Arabidopsis thaliana: one gene and its partner. The protein of the gene in region 1 binds, or shares a complex with, the protein of each later gene. Each region holds a gene or a part of one and is shown on either strand. Other genes may lie near its edges. The genes, in order: PAA2 and PBG1.

Region 1 (7,178 bases):
AGAGTGTACACAAAGAAGTGATTTGCCAGAATGGAATGAAGCAATAGATGCAGAATTAAAATTTCTTGCAAAGAGAGAAGTGTTTGGACCAGTAGTCTGTACACCCGAAAGTGTAAAACCAGTGGGACATAAATGGGTCTTTGTACGAAAGAAGAATGAAAACGGTGAAATTGTAAGGCATAAAGTCGCACAAGGATTCCCACAAAGACCCGGAATTGACTATGAAGAGACATACTCTCTTGTGGTGGATGCAACTACATTTTGGTTCCTTATTAGTCTAGCAGTAAAAGAAGGACTTGATTTATGTTTGATGGATGTAGTCACAACCTATTTATACGGTCCACTGAAAAATGACATTTATATGAAAATCCCAGAATGATTTAAAATGTCAGAAGCAGTACAATCAAATTCTCGAGAACAATACTGCATAAAATTAAATCGATCCCTTTATAAATTAAAACAATCATGGTGTATGTGGTATAATCGCCTTAGTGACTTGCTAAAAGAATATACAAAAAAAGACTATGTTAGTCCATGCATCTTTATAAACAGATTTGGGAAATGATTTGTTATAATTGTAGTTTATGTTGATGATTTAAATATTATGGGAACTTCTGCAGAGATCTCCTTCACAGTAGAATATTTAAAGAAAGAATTTGAGAAGAGAGATTTTGGAAAAACAAAATTTTGTTTGGGACTACAAATTGAACACCTAAATAATGTAATTCTGGTGCATCAAGAGACATATACAGAAAATGTTCTCAAAAGATTCTACATGGATGGAGCAGTCCCCTTGAGTAGCCCAATGGTTGTAAGGTCACTTGATGTGGATAAAGATCCATTATGTCCTCGGGAAAACAATGAAGGAGTTCTTAGTCCTGAAATATCATACTTAAGTGCAAGTTCATGTCCAACTCGAAGACATTGGAATGGAATTAAACATATACTTCGTTATCTCCAATGTAAGAAAGACATGAGTCTGCTTTTTCCTAACCAATTTAGAAGATTTAATTGGTTTTGCAGATGCAGGATACTTATCTGATCTCCATAAGGTTTTGCAGATGCAGGATATTTATCTGATCTCCATAATGGTAGATCGTAAACAGAATATGTCTTCACATGTATTGCTATTTATTGGCGTTCTATGAAGAAAACTGTTGCAGCCACATCTTCTAATCATTCAGAGATTTTAGCAATTCATGAAACTAGCCGCAAGATTTTTAGCGTGTATGGCTAAGATCCATAGTTACCATATACAAAAAGATTGTGGTATCTATGCAAGGAAAAAAGCTCCAACAATTATGTACAAAGACAATGCAGCATGCATCGCACAACTCAAAAACATATACATCAAAGGCGATAGAACAAAGGACATCTTACCAAAATTCTTCTTCACACGACCTTTTGAGTTTTATGCTCAACTATATCAGTATCGCAATCAAGGGTGGCAGAGAGTCGAGGGTAAGCTATAGCGTAGACTCTTTAACAAGCCTACGAATAAAGGAATTTCACCTCCAAAAAACGTTTCAGTCAAGCTCTGTTCATTGAGTTGGACTCGGACATCAAAATGCAGAGTTCCTTTAGGAGATTATGTTAAAGACCAAGTGTCCAGGTTTTGCAGATTTCCCAATTTTTGTAAATAACTTTCTTTGTTTTGCCTTTTAAAATTCAAAACCTTAAACCATCTCATTCGACCTTAATTTGACACCCTTACATGTAACTCCTATTAGGAGGAAGCAGATGATTCAAATGAAAACTACACGACTCATGACTAATGGAAACACGTTTCTCTGAAACGTGAATCATCTTAGATAGATTTAAAGCAAAAGAAAGAGATGCAAAGTCCCGACTGAATGTTCCAGTGAAAGTGATCAGTCACGTTCACTAATGGCCGTCAAGTGCTCGTCGATCTCCTCTGTTCTCAGGGAACGGAAGAGAGGGTCATCAGCTCTCACAACTCCCACCTGCCAACACAACAGTAGCCAGCATAAATATTTACATGCCTTTTCACAAAGCTTTAACAAAACTACATTTCCATTGGTTTCTCCTTCTTTATTCCTAACCACGATACAACTCTGGCTAACACGATTCGACTCTGGCCAACATATATACAAAATACTACTCTTGCCAACATTTATACAAAAAGGAGTACAGATAGTGGAGAATTGACACCTCAATTTCAGTTGCTTTGAAGTCTTCTTGAAGAACAGATTGGAGAGCGGATATAGCAGTCTACAAAAGTTGATAACTCAAAGTCAGATATAATGGTCTAGGTCTGTCACAGAATTTTGGTGTTTTGTGCGTTCCTACAGTTTCTAAACCTAATATAAAACAATAAAGCTTTTAAAGTGCAAGCAAATGAACATTGCAAATGATCAACCTGCTTCCGATCTAAAATAAAGAAGGATTGTCCATAATTACCTGTACTGTTTCATCATATGTGAAGGCAGGGTTTTCTTTCATTTTCTTCTCCAAGAAATTGACTGCTTCTTGTTCTTTCATACCAGCACTAGTTGCCTGCATCATATGTTTGCTAACTTATAAGTGGAGAAACTTTATATAGAAGCCTCTGATCCTATGGAACATATGTACCACGTATGTGACTACATCATATTTCACAGGTTTACAGTGTGTAGAACTTTTGGTTTCACCTCCATGGTCAACCAGTAACTCTTAAAAGCAGATAAGTTTCTCAGTACAGTATCTGGTTAGGCAAGTGCAATATAATGTTTCTTTCTTCCATGTTAGCAAAGGCAGTAGTCTATACGAATATGCATGTAAGAGGCAGAGGCTTATCTAATCATAACAAGTAGGTGGTATTACCTTGTGACCGTAAAAATGTCCAGCTGGGTCACACTTGTAAAGTAGAGGTCCTCTCTCTTCATCAATACCTAGAACCATGGCAACTTCACAAAGACAAAGAAAACAAGAATCAGGATAAAACCACCACACAAGTAAAATGTATAAATAGGGATTAGGGAAACTTGCCTACTCCAAGGGGTCTCATGTAAGCATGTTGTGTGTAAACCTGAGACTTATCTGCAATCCTGTCACAGCACAATAGTTCAGTATTAGTAACTTTCATAAGTGTAGAGAGACACATAGAGTCTGTAATTAATTACCATTTAGCAAGAATATCTGCAGGCATCTCATAACCATATTGGAACCTAAACTCAGCAGCCTCATTCCTAGCTTGTTGTACCAATGACCTTGAATCAGCTGCAACCCCAGAAAGATCAAAACATGACCATAATGAACAAGCATTGTGATGAGAAATACAAACCTGTCATGCCAGTGGCTAACAATCCAAGGTACTTGGTAACAGGGAAAAGGTGAGATACACTAGACTGATCCAAAAGCTTGTCCTGCCCACAAATCATTCATCAGATCCCTAATTCAAAACCCTCACTTGAACAAAAACCCTAAGGAGTCAAAAGAGGACTCACCGGAACTTTCTTCTGCGTAACGACGCATACTGAATCTTTCCCTCGGACACCGATCGATGTGATTCCAGCTGCTTTCACGGCTTTGAAAGCATACTCTACAAAATCCGTAACCAGTAATATCAATCTCCGAAGTTATAAATTAAAAAAACAAAAAAGATAGAGAAATTGATTACTGACCGACTTGGAAGAGACGACCTTCCGGTGAGAAAATAGTGATGTGACGATCGTAACCAGCGCCGCTTCCTCTGCTCATCTTCTTCTTCTCAGAGAAGAGAACAACTCTCTTCCGAAATCGGAGATGGAATTTTTGCTTCTGTGTGATCTGTAGAGAAAGATGTATTATAGAAGAAAGCTTTCTTTGTCTTCAAGACAGAACCCAAAAAAAAATAGTCAATCTCCCAAAATACCCTTGAAATAATAAGTTAAGATTACAATTATCTTCGAAAAAACTCTAAAATACTCCCTGGGGCTGCAACTTTACATTTCACGTTAAAAGAATGCAGAATAATTATATAAAATTAAAAAAATACACAATATAATTTTTTTTGATATTATTAAACTTTTAAATTTTGATAAATAATATATCAAATCAAAATTCTTGATATGAGTAGTTTAACTATTTATTTTTTAAAAAATTTCAAAAACAAATGTTTTTACGTTTACAATATGTAAAATTGTAAAAATTGACTATATTACGTATTATTTTAAATTTCATATAATTATTTTGTTTTTTTTGGACATAGAGTATAAAGTTGCAAAATTGGACGGAAATTTTTTTTGCACAAAATACTTTAATTAACTAACGCCGCAATGAGAAGACGCCCGATCTTGCAGGATCAAGAACGAACTGAAACGAAACAAGTAAAAGAAGAACATGCAAACGACCTCGCGGCGAAGACAACCATGTTTACATTTGTAGATGAATCTACTAGAGTACTTAAGAAAGCCAAGAGTGAATACAAAGGACATAGGAGGTCTCTATTGTTGACAATGCAGCGTCAAGATGTAATTGACAGGTATATGAAAAGAGATAATATACTTTGTTTAGCCAAACCTTCAGGTGAATAACTAACTCTTGTTTTTGATGGCACTATCAACAAGATAATCCTCCTCATAGTTGGATTTTCTCTCTTTGTCTTTGTTTTTGTGTAGGTTGTATCAAAATGTATATATCGGAATTCTGAAACTCTTAACGAATGGCTACTGCTGACGGTTGTTTCTAGATGTGTCAAATGGTCCGTCCAAAGACCATTGGGCGTGTCCGTACGGACAGTTTTTTTATGGGCCAAGTTGGACGGTTTGGTCCGAAAAATGTCCATGCCCAATAAAGACCATGTCCATATGGCAAGCCCATGGTTAGCCTATTTTATTATTGTTATTATTGATAAATCAAAAATCATAAATTTAAAGAAAAATTGAGAAATTGCATTTTTCCGTAAAAATTGTAGAAATCGAAGACTTGTCTTTTTTCGACAAAATGGTAAAATTGTGTTTTTCTTACCAATACAATAAAATCACGATTTTGACGAAAAAATTATGGAATTGCTTTTTTCGCCAAAACGGTAAAATCGTAAAATTATTTTTTTCACCGATACAAAAAAATAACGATTTAACCGCTAAAACCGTAAAATCGGAGAATTGTGTTTTCTCACTAAAACTGTAAAATTGTGTTTTTCGCCAATATAATAAAATCACGATTTTGGCTGGAAAATTGTGTTTTCCCGCCAAAACCGTAAAATCAGAGAATTGCGTTTTCCCGTCAAAACCGTAAAATTGTGTTCTCGCCAATATAATAAAATCACGATTTTGGTGGAAAATTTGCAGAATTACGTTTTTCCGTCAAAATCGTAAAATCGGAGAATTGTATTTTTCCCGTCAAAACCGTAAAATTTAAAAATTGCGTATTCCAGAAAATTGTGGAATACTATCTTTCCTTTAAAATCGTAAATAATTTAATAAGAAATAATTCATTAAAATTTAAAATTTTCAGAAAAGTAAAAACTTATAAATGTAAAATATATTATTTAAAAATTATTTAGTTGTAATTGTAATTAAAATTATAAAAATACAATTAAATGAAGACATGTCTATTGACTCAATTCATGCCCATGGGCAGCCCGTTGTCCATATGGTCAAGCCCATATTATCCGTGGACAAAACTGGTCATATGCCCAATTAGACCATTTGTTTTTTGGTCCAGAATATAGCTCGTCCATATGCATTTGGTCTAAAGTTCAGAATTATCAAAAAATTGATAAAGTCGAGGCATTTCGAATTGTTTGTTGACACAGAACAAGGAAAACCTCTGAAATTATTTCAATATTGACGGGTAGGAGAAACGGTATTCTTTTCTTAAACTTAAAAAAATAGAGAAATAAGAACCAAGTCAAGATGGACCGGGCAAGCCCATGGACAAGTTGTTTTACACTAAAACAAGTTGTTTCCCAATCTTCATTAGCATTAAACCCAAGACCAGCATTTTGGCTACCTACAATTGGCTAAAACGTATCGATTATTTCTTATTTTTGACAATTTTTACCACAGTGTACTTAGTAGCTCAAACATTACAAAGTAATTTGCTTTGTTGCAAGTATATAGAGAGAGGGGAACATCCGCAAGTCGCAATGCTGACTCTAACTTCAACGAGATGAGTTTCCTGTTATCTTCTTGGCAAAGCTGCTTATGTCAAATGTATCATTGCCATTCTTTGTTATGACCCCCTGCATATACAAACACGTTGAGAGATTCAAATAAATGAGCATAAATATCTTCCAGAACAAGCAAGGCTGGAAAAACGAACTTTCTCGGTTATGATTCCTGCAATCAGCTCTGCTGGAGTCATATCAAAAGCTGGGTTCCAAACTGAGATCCCTGGTGCTGCAATGCGTTCACCAAGTCCTCCGTGTGTGTGCATCAACTCCTTTGGAGATCTTTCCTCTATCACGATTTCTTTCCCGGATGAAAGTGACAGATCAACTGAGGTAAGAGGTGCAGCAACATAAAATGGGATCCCGTGATGTTTTGCGCACAAGGCGAGACTGTAAGTCCCAATCTTGTTAGCAGTATCGCCTGGAGTATATCAATGAATTGGTTAAGAAGTGATTCAGTCATAAGGAATCAGATTTGTGAGAGAAAACGGATTTATCTAAGGTGTTTGAGTGTACCATTTGAAGCCACACGATCAGCTCCAACGATGACACCATCAACACGACCATCTTTCATCAGTGCAGCTGCAGCTGAGTCTGCAATGAGAGTTGCAGGGATTTTCTCATGCACCAACTCAAACGCTGTAAGCCTCGATCCCTGTCAATTGCCATTTAGTCATAAATTCAAAAGACTTTCAACAACAGTTCAACAAGATATGAAAACTCTATAAAGCAATGGATTCAGGGAGCTGCCACAAGAAGTATCTGTCCTACGTTCCTTCATGGTTTTGAAGCTTTTACCACCGTTTTGATAAGAACACATATGTCAATATAGAGGTAATTATCGTCCCTAACAACTTAAGGTATTCTACGGATTCTTCTTCTTACGATATTGAGAAAGAAAAAGTATTAATTTAGGAGTTTTACTTGATTAAATGGACGAGTTTCTGTGCAGTATGCTCTTTCTAAGATTCCTTGAGTATGGAGTGCACGGATGACACCGAGGGCAGTACCATATCCGGCGGTAGCAAGGCTACAAAGTCAATAGAACTCGTAGTTAATGCCTTACTAGGAATCTACCACATAA
Region 2 (7,662 bases), on another chromosome or scaffold:
TACTCCATTGGGGTTGCTTTATTGCAGAAAACATCTTCCCATATCTTCAGTAGCTCTGCACCAAGAGAAATCAGATATCACAATTGTTATGATGTAGGTCATTTACACTACATGTATATGCTTTGATCATATTAAAGATCGTTGACATGACATGAAGAAGAAAGGGAGTACCGTTTTTCTCGGTTGAGGTAAGGCACATGACGAGCATGTTGAATCTAGGAACCTTTGTTAGGTTCTCAATGTATTTAACTGCCAAATCCATGTCTTCACTGCAACAAGCAAGAAACCATAAGCACCAATTATTACAAGATTTTTTGGAGAACCAGAATGCAAATGGTCAGTTTACTCACGTGAAGAATGAGGCTACACATTTGATTATGTCAACCAGCACCGGAGAGGTCAGGGCGTTCTTGAAAATCTGAGGTAAAGAGCTCGGAGTCGTGACCTGATATATTTACAAACCTGGTGAGTTGCACTGTTATTTAGGGATTGAGTTTATTTTTTTGCAGGTGGTATTTCAAACCTTCAACAATTGGCTTCGTAGGGCACTGTCGCCGGAAAAACTCCGCCAAGAGTTCTCAAATTCGTAAGCAGATTTTGGGGTTTTAATGTTTTTAGAAGCTTCAGTCATCGCAAGTGACGCTGCATGAGCAGCAAGCTCTTGTACTGATGGCTTTAGTTCCAGCTGTTTAGAAACCTGGTTTTCCTGTAACATTAGAATGGGGACAAGTTTTGTAGCATCAGAGTGGATTTTTTTGTACCACATCAACCTTTTTAACACTTAGACCACCATTACTTACCGGTCCAGAAGGCTGAGTACCATTTCTGTCAGAAGGCTTCGCCTCCTTTTCATAACTTTGGCTTCCAGGCGTCACTTTCTTGCTGTCTAGAATTTCCGTGATAGCTGGAATTTTCATGGAACCTTCTTTGCTTTTCTCCTGAAGATAGCATGACAAGTATAATGAGATAAGCTCTCGAAAATTCCATCTATGCTAACTAAAGATAAAGTTTCCATGTGATAATAATATCCGACAAACTTTACTAGTAAAACTAATTCTACACGACCTTTTAGATGTGCACTTTTGAACTTAACTTATATCAAACAAAATAAACTTGAAATATACCTCAGGTTGTATATTTTCAATGAGCTTCTTTCCCGAACTTTCATTGCTACCTAGAACAGGCTGAACAATATCCCTGTTCGTTTTGGCCACTAGGGTCACTGGCTTTGAAGTCATTTCTGTCTTTGGCTTTTGTATTTTCTTATCTAAACCTGATGTTTTGAGTAATTCTTGTGCAGTGCTTTGCATTGCTCCAGTGGCTTTCTCAATGATTTCCTGCTCAAAATTCAAAAAGTTAAGTATTTGTGAAGCATTTAAAATTAACCTGGCAAAAATGCAGCAAAGAAGCATATGAAAATATTACTTTCTCGAGCAAAGATTTGATATCGGCATATTGCTTCTTAAGTTCCTGGCTCTCAGGCTCCAATCTTAAGGCAAACTCAGCATCTGCGAATAATTTTAATCACCTTACATATGCAGCAACATGTAATAAAGAAATTGTATGTATCTTAACAGAACAGAATGAATGATTATATGGGTGCGAGGGATACCTTCTTTGGCTTCTTTAATCATGCCGAGTTCTTTTCTTGCTGTTGCTCGGCGTGAGTAAGCTTTTATATATCGATCATCCAGATTTAAAGCTTCTGTGCAGTCAACCTCAGCCTCTCGATATCTAATGTAAGAATCATTTTACAAAGTCAGAAAATATAGCTTAAAGAGGATCAGGTAATGGAAGACAAGTGGACACACACAAGAGTCACAGTGATGAATGAATAAAACCAATGAAACAGACAATGAGCAAACCTTTTGATTTTAAGGTAAGCCATTGCTCGATTTGCATAAGTCACAGCATTTGGCGATAAAGCAATGCTCCGAGAGTAACAATCAATCGCCTCATTGAACTTCTTCTGCTTGAAGAATTCATTACCCTGTATTCCAAGAGAGGTCCATGAGAAAGATTGCATCACGAGAATATCACATAACAAAAACAAAGCTTGAAGAAGAGAAAGTACCTGCTCCTTCTCTGAACTAGAATCCAATAGACTTTCTCCAATCAAACTACTCGACAAATCCCTAATGGAACGATACTTTTTAGCAAAGTCATATTTCCCTGACCCACTTGGTCTGAACGTCTCACTACTCTGAAAGTTCAAAACAAGGAATCTCATAAGGATGCATTAAGTTTTACAAATGAGAGCACTTCTGTATATACACAAAAGAACGAACCGGATTCGACGAATTAGCAGGTTGTTGCTTAATCTTCTTGTCTTTATCCTTCAATGAGAGTTCCCAATCCTGCAAGTCATTGAAAAATCCCTGGAAATCCTGGAAAAAAAAATTCGAAACCAAACGATGCAAGTAAACATCTAATTCGTTCTTAGTCTATATACATAATCGATTGTACAACAGTTCGTTGAACTAACAATCTCCATGAAATCTAGATAACGAAGTGGAGATAAGGAGCACGAGTCGTTTCGATTTTTTTCCTTTTTCATTCTCGAGTAAACAGAGATTTTAGCTAGAGAAGATTCATGTAAGAAAGATGAATCGAGTAGAAATGGTTACCTGAGTTTGATCGCGGCCGTGTTTGCTCGGTGACCTAGCCATTCTGAGAGAGATTCTCCGGCGAGCAAATAGTCGACGAGAAAGAGCAAAGATGATTCTAGAAGAAGACTGAGAAAGTCACAGAGTTCAATTTTGAACTACAGTATTGGACTTGGGCTTTCCGATATTTGAGTAATGTCGGGTGGGGTCATGTCAGTAACCGGGTTAAATCGATAATATTGGTTGAGATCGGGTAGGTCGGGTCAAATCGAGAATAAACCGGCCCGTTTGACACCTCTACGTGTGAAACTGAGTCAGGTCGGGTCAGGTAAAGAACCGTATTAAACCAATAAATTGATATTAGTGTGTGAGATCAAATCGGATCGGGTGAATAACCAGGTTAAACCGGTAAACACCGGGTCAGGCCCGATTCGCTATGTTTCTTGAGCGAAAGGAAATCACAGAAGTCTTTTTAGTGAGGTAAACAAAACCAAAACCATCAGATCTTAAGAAGAAGAACCTAAAGCTCACTACGATATTTTTCGAGAATATGACGACTGTAAGTCAGATCAATCTCGTCTTCAATGTTCTTATTACTATCTCTGCTTCTGATCCTTCTAGGTTTGATTTCGTTTTCCTGATTTTGATTTTGTTTCTTCTTCTGAGCAGTTTTCTGTTCCGATTGATAACGGAGATTCTATGAAGATCGCAGAAGAAGAATCACAAAGAACACTGTAAAAATCTCTTACTCTTATGCTTATGTAGGGTTTTCGATTTTGAGAAAATTTGGGATTCGATTTTGAATTTATTAGGGTTTTGTTTTGGTTTTTTGTTTAGGTACCCATATGTTACTGGAACTTCAATTGTTGCAATCAAGTACAAAGATGGGGTTTTGATGGCTTCTGATATGGGAGGTATGTCTCAGCTCCTAGTTTCAGCTCTTTATTTGGTTAAGTATTTGTATTGGTTTAATGTATGCACAAATTTTTGCAATGTATGTTTAGATTTACATCTGTTATAAGCTTGATTGCTTGAATCGTTTGTTTTGCCTCTCTTGGTGTTTGTTTGGTTAAATCTGTTTCTTTTTCTCTGTGAGAGATCATCACAAGTCAGTGAATAGATCATGTGTTTCAGATATGCTCGTTTCATGCGTATGAATCCTTCAAATTTCATTTCTCTAGTGTCTTTTCTGCTACATTTTTAAGTATGGTTTGATTCTTTTGGTCAAATTTGATTTTTGCATCTTTATAGACGATTCAGTGAATTAGGGTCAAACACTATTATGCAGAACAGGTTTTGTTATGTCTATTAGCTGCTTGATTGATAATAATATGTATTTTGGGCTAAACATATAGACAAGCAATTGCTTTTTGTTTTTTATGAGATTAGTTTCACATCCCCCTTGCATTTGTTTTCTTAGCTACGTTATCTTTCCAACATAGAATGTTACAGTTCTTTGGTTGTTCCTGTTTCGTCTCTTTAATATTGTTAGATTTAGGGTAAACTAAGAATTGAGGCTTCTTTTATGAATGATCCAGAGAATAATGTTGAAAAGTCTTGACTGTTTCTAGATCTTTTTGCTTTTGTTTCGGTTCCCTGTGTGCCATCCATTGTTAATTAGGTCAAGAGATGACAACTGAGAATTAACGTTACAACCATCAACCAGTACTTAGCTATGTTCATTGAAATAGTTTGATTTCTCATATCTTAACACCGACTCACAATAAGTAAGAGCTGTCATTTGTTTGTACGGTTAATAATTTTGATGGTATATCTATGTAGCTTGGATTATTCTTTTATGTTCTAATGGTGTGATCCTGGTTTCCTGGGACTTATGCACCAGGGAAATTACGATATTGTGCCATCAACTCACTTTCAAATTTTTGCATGCAGGTTCATATGGATCAACCTTAAGATACAAGAACATCGAGAGAGTGAAGGCTATTGGTAAGCATTCTCTTCTTGGTGCCAGCGGAGAAATCAGCGACTTTCAGGAGATTCTCCGTTATCTTGATGAGCTCACGTAAGAATCCGTTTGGTTCAATTTTTTTATATTTTAATCTTTCCTTGTCAATTATCAAGCCTCACAAGCCCTTGGTTTTACACAGCCTGAATGATAACATGTGGGATGATGGTAACTCTTTGGGACCAAAAGAGATTCACAACTATCTGACCCGTGTGATGTACAACCGTCGCAACAAGTTTAACCCTCTGTGGAACACTCTCGTCCTTGGAGGCGTCAAAAATGGGAAAAGTTACCTTGGAATGGTACGTCTCAGTCTTTCAAGTCACATATATAAAATTTTCTTATGAATGTAACTATTGATTTGGATCCATTTGCTTCTCTCTAGGTGTCAATGATTGGTGTTAGTTTTGAGGACGATCATGTTGCCACTGGATTTGGAAACCACCTTGCTAGGCCAATTCTTCGTGATGAGTGGCATGCAGACCTGAGTTTTGAAGATGGTGTCAAGCTACTTGAGAAATGTATGCGTGTGCTTCTTTACCGTGACAGATCTGCTATTAACAAGCTTCAGGTTTGTCTCTAATAACAAGTTTTGTTTACCGTTATCTCATCTCGTATAATCTTTGTTTAGTTTGGTAGAAGTTCTTCATAAGGATTGTAATAACAGAAAATATGAAAACTGTGCAGATAGCGAAGATCACGGAAGAGGGCGTGACGGTCTCACAGCCATACTCATTGAAGACATACTGGGAATTCTCGTCATTCCACAACCCAACTGCTGGTGCTGCAGGCTCCTGGTAAGAAGCCAAGCAACCACATCGGCTGGCGATCTTTTAAGGAAGCTTTTATTTTATTTTATGTGATGTTGTTAAACACTTTGTACTGTAGTTGTTTTACTATTAAACTTGGTGGTTTCTTTCTGACAGTCCAGAGTTTAGATCAATGAGGATTTATAAAAAGTACTGGATATCTTTGGGTAGTAATCCATACCTTTGTTCATTGTTGATCGTTCTCCATCGCTTTTTGGTCTCCTTTCTCTTTTCTCATTTTAAGTGAAGTTGACACAATTTGCACACAAATTCATAAAATTAATAAATCATCTATTGGAACCTACTCTCTCATTATTTATTAATCATAATTATTTCAGTAAATTCTTAACAAGTAAAGTATTAACAACTCCATTTCGTGATATGCATTATTCATCTCCTAATTGAATCCAAATTCCAAAAGTACAAATTCCATCAGGTTATTATCTAGTCAAATAGGTTTTTAAGAGCATCTCCATTAGAAATTCAAAGAGTTTTCCAAACAAACAAAAAAATAAAGTTTTATTATATGATTAATTTTTTTTATTTTAGTTAAAAACTGAACTAATGATAAAGAGAGAAATGTCATGATGAGTTGTAGAGAGTATCTCATAGTTTCTCAAGTGAGAAACTTTCTACCTTCTTTCTCTTTCATTTTTAATATTTTTATTTTTTTAGTTGTGAAAAACTCTTGTGAAAAACTTCTAATGGAAATGGTCTAATAGTTACAAGATCTATTAAATTCATAGGGTGAGTAGTTTTCTTGAACTTGTAAACGTAACAAGTTGTATATTTTCTTGAAATTTATAACCCGTTTTCTTGAACGCTGAATTTTATAGTTCTTTTAAAATTCCAATAATTATTTAAATTATAATTTAACTTTTCTAAAATCAATTTCCGACTATTGTGTTATCATTTTTGATCAAATTACAAATAATTTAGATTTTAATTTCTTATATTATTTTTCATGAAATTTATACTCATGAAAATACCCTAACGACTATTACTAGTGCTCATTTCTACACACGTCTTAAATATTCAAATTAGATACTCCAACTCTCGATTTTATGCGTATTCAGAATCGTAAATTAACAAATATTAGTCAACTGTTACAAATGTTGACTTAATTGACACGTGTGTAACAAAGTGGCGATTCTACTTTGTAAACTTCGTTTAGTCAAACCTTAGATCTTTTACAAATTTAAGCATATACAATACCAACCACCAAACATGGTCGTTTTACAAAGAAAAATTGCCAACTTATCACACACGTGACAACTGAGTCAACATATATCCCGATTGACTAACGTCCGTTAATAACGACTTGAAATTATGCATAAAAATCGACAGTTAGAGTATGTAATTTGAATAATTAAGACGTTTTCATATAAATGTTAGAATAAGTACATGTCTAAAAGAGTTCTTTGCAGATTGTTGGGATTGGGAAAAACTCTTTCTTTTTCTTTTGTAAATAGAAAATTTTACGTATGTCAAACTAATATAAACATGCTTTAATTTATATAATAAATATAAATAAATGGGGAAGTGCCTTTACTCAAGTGGTTAAGTCTATTTGATTCCATATTTCCCATCGTAGTTTGACTCCACTAAATCGCGTTATCCCGCGTAGTAAAGATTGACTATGGATCGAATTTTCTCGATTCAAAGATGTCAAAAAAACATAAACAAATATATACTAACATTTTTATCAAATATTAGAAAATTCAGTCCTATGAACTCATTATGTTTCTTTATTTTTTTTAAATTATTTGCAAACAACACATTACAATGCAACAATAAAACATACTTTCAGATTTCAATCCAAAATGTTAAGTAACATATACAAAAACCAAAACATATATTGCTTGTACACGTACCACTACCTTCTCAAGTTTTGCAATCTCTATAATAATAACATAAACATACATTATCGTTAGACACTTGAGAGATGTGAGGGAGAGTGCAGTTTTGTAATGGGCCGATTTACGACAAAATAAGCGAAATATAAGGCCCTGAGTATATAAATATTACTGTTTAGCGGTAAACCCTGTCTGTGAACGCTAACGTTAACCAAGTAGGCTTAGATTAGTCTAACCTACGCCCTTTTGTTTCTTTGGCTCCAGAGGAACAAGAGTGAAGACGGTGAAGTTCCACAGCTTCTTCGTCAACTCCAATAAACCATAAACGCTAATTCCAATTTAGCGTGCTCAAAGTTCGATCCTTTGAATCTAAATCAGGTATAGAATTTTGTTTAATCGACCTCTTTATTCGAGCTCTTAGCTTT

Evidence for each region.
Region 2: PAA2 (region 1) and PBG1 share a complex: the UniProt entries of both Arabidopsis thaliana proteins name them as parts of the 20S core complex.

Annotation. Positions count from the first base shown.
Region 1 is NC_003071.7:2,230,747-2,237,924, reverse strand, and holds PAA2 (20S proteasome subunit PAA2), read right to left. Parts: upstream 3,907-7,178; 5' UTR 3,700-3,906; coding exon 3,624-3,699; intron 3,542-3,623; coding exon 3,447-3,541; intron 3,366-3,446; coding exon 3,284-3,365; intron 3,220-3,283; coding exon 3,123-3,219; intron 3,048-3,122; coding exon 2,989-3,047; intron 2,907-2,988; coding exon 2,824-2,906; intron 2,518-2,823; coding exon 2,422-2,517; coding exon of another isoform or gene 2,392-2,421; exon of another isoform or gene 2,233-2,391; coding exon 2,173-2,232; coding exon of another isoform or gene 2,171-2,172; intron 1,965-2,170; coding exon 1,872-1,964; 3' UTR 1,455-1,871; downstream 1-1,454. Other genes in the region: AT2G05830 (NagB/RpiA/CoA transferase-like superfamily protein), read right to left, coding at 6,086-6,166, 6,247-6,515, 6,611-6,749, 7,019-7,124. UniProt on the Arabidopsis thaliana protein: The proteasome is a multicatalytic proteinase complex which is characterized by its ability to cleave peptides with Arg, Phe, Tyr, Leu, and Glu adjacent to the leaving group at neutral or slightly basic pH.
Region 2 is NC_003070.9:21,138,814-21,146,475, forward strand, and holds PBG1 (20S proteasome beta subunit G1), read left to right. Parts: upstream 1-2,819; 5' UTR 2,820-3,156; coding exon 3,157-3,165; intron 3,166-3,275; coding exon 3,276-3,340; intron 3,341-3,443; coding exon 3,444-3,520; intron 3,521-4,499; coding exon 4,500-4,629; intron 4,630-4,714; coding exon 4,715-4,874; intron 4,875-4,957; coding exon 4,958-5,143; intron 5,144-5,259; coding exon 5,260-5,373; 3' UTR 5,374-5,645; downstream 5,646-7,662. Other genes in the region: TPR5 (Tetratricopeptide repeat (TPR)-like superfamily protein), read right to left, coding at 1-55, 172-269, 351-445, 524-706, 801-938, 1,125-1,337, 1,426-1,508, 1,613-1,734 and 4 more. UniProt on the Arabidopsis thaliana protein: Non-catalytic component of the proteasome, a multicatalytic proteinase complex which is characterized by its ability to cleave peptides with Arg, Phe, Tyr, Leu, and Glu adjacent to the leaving group at neutral or slightly basic pH.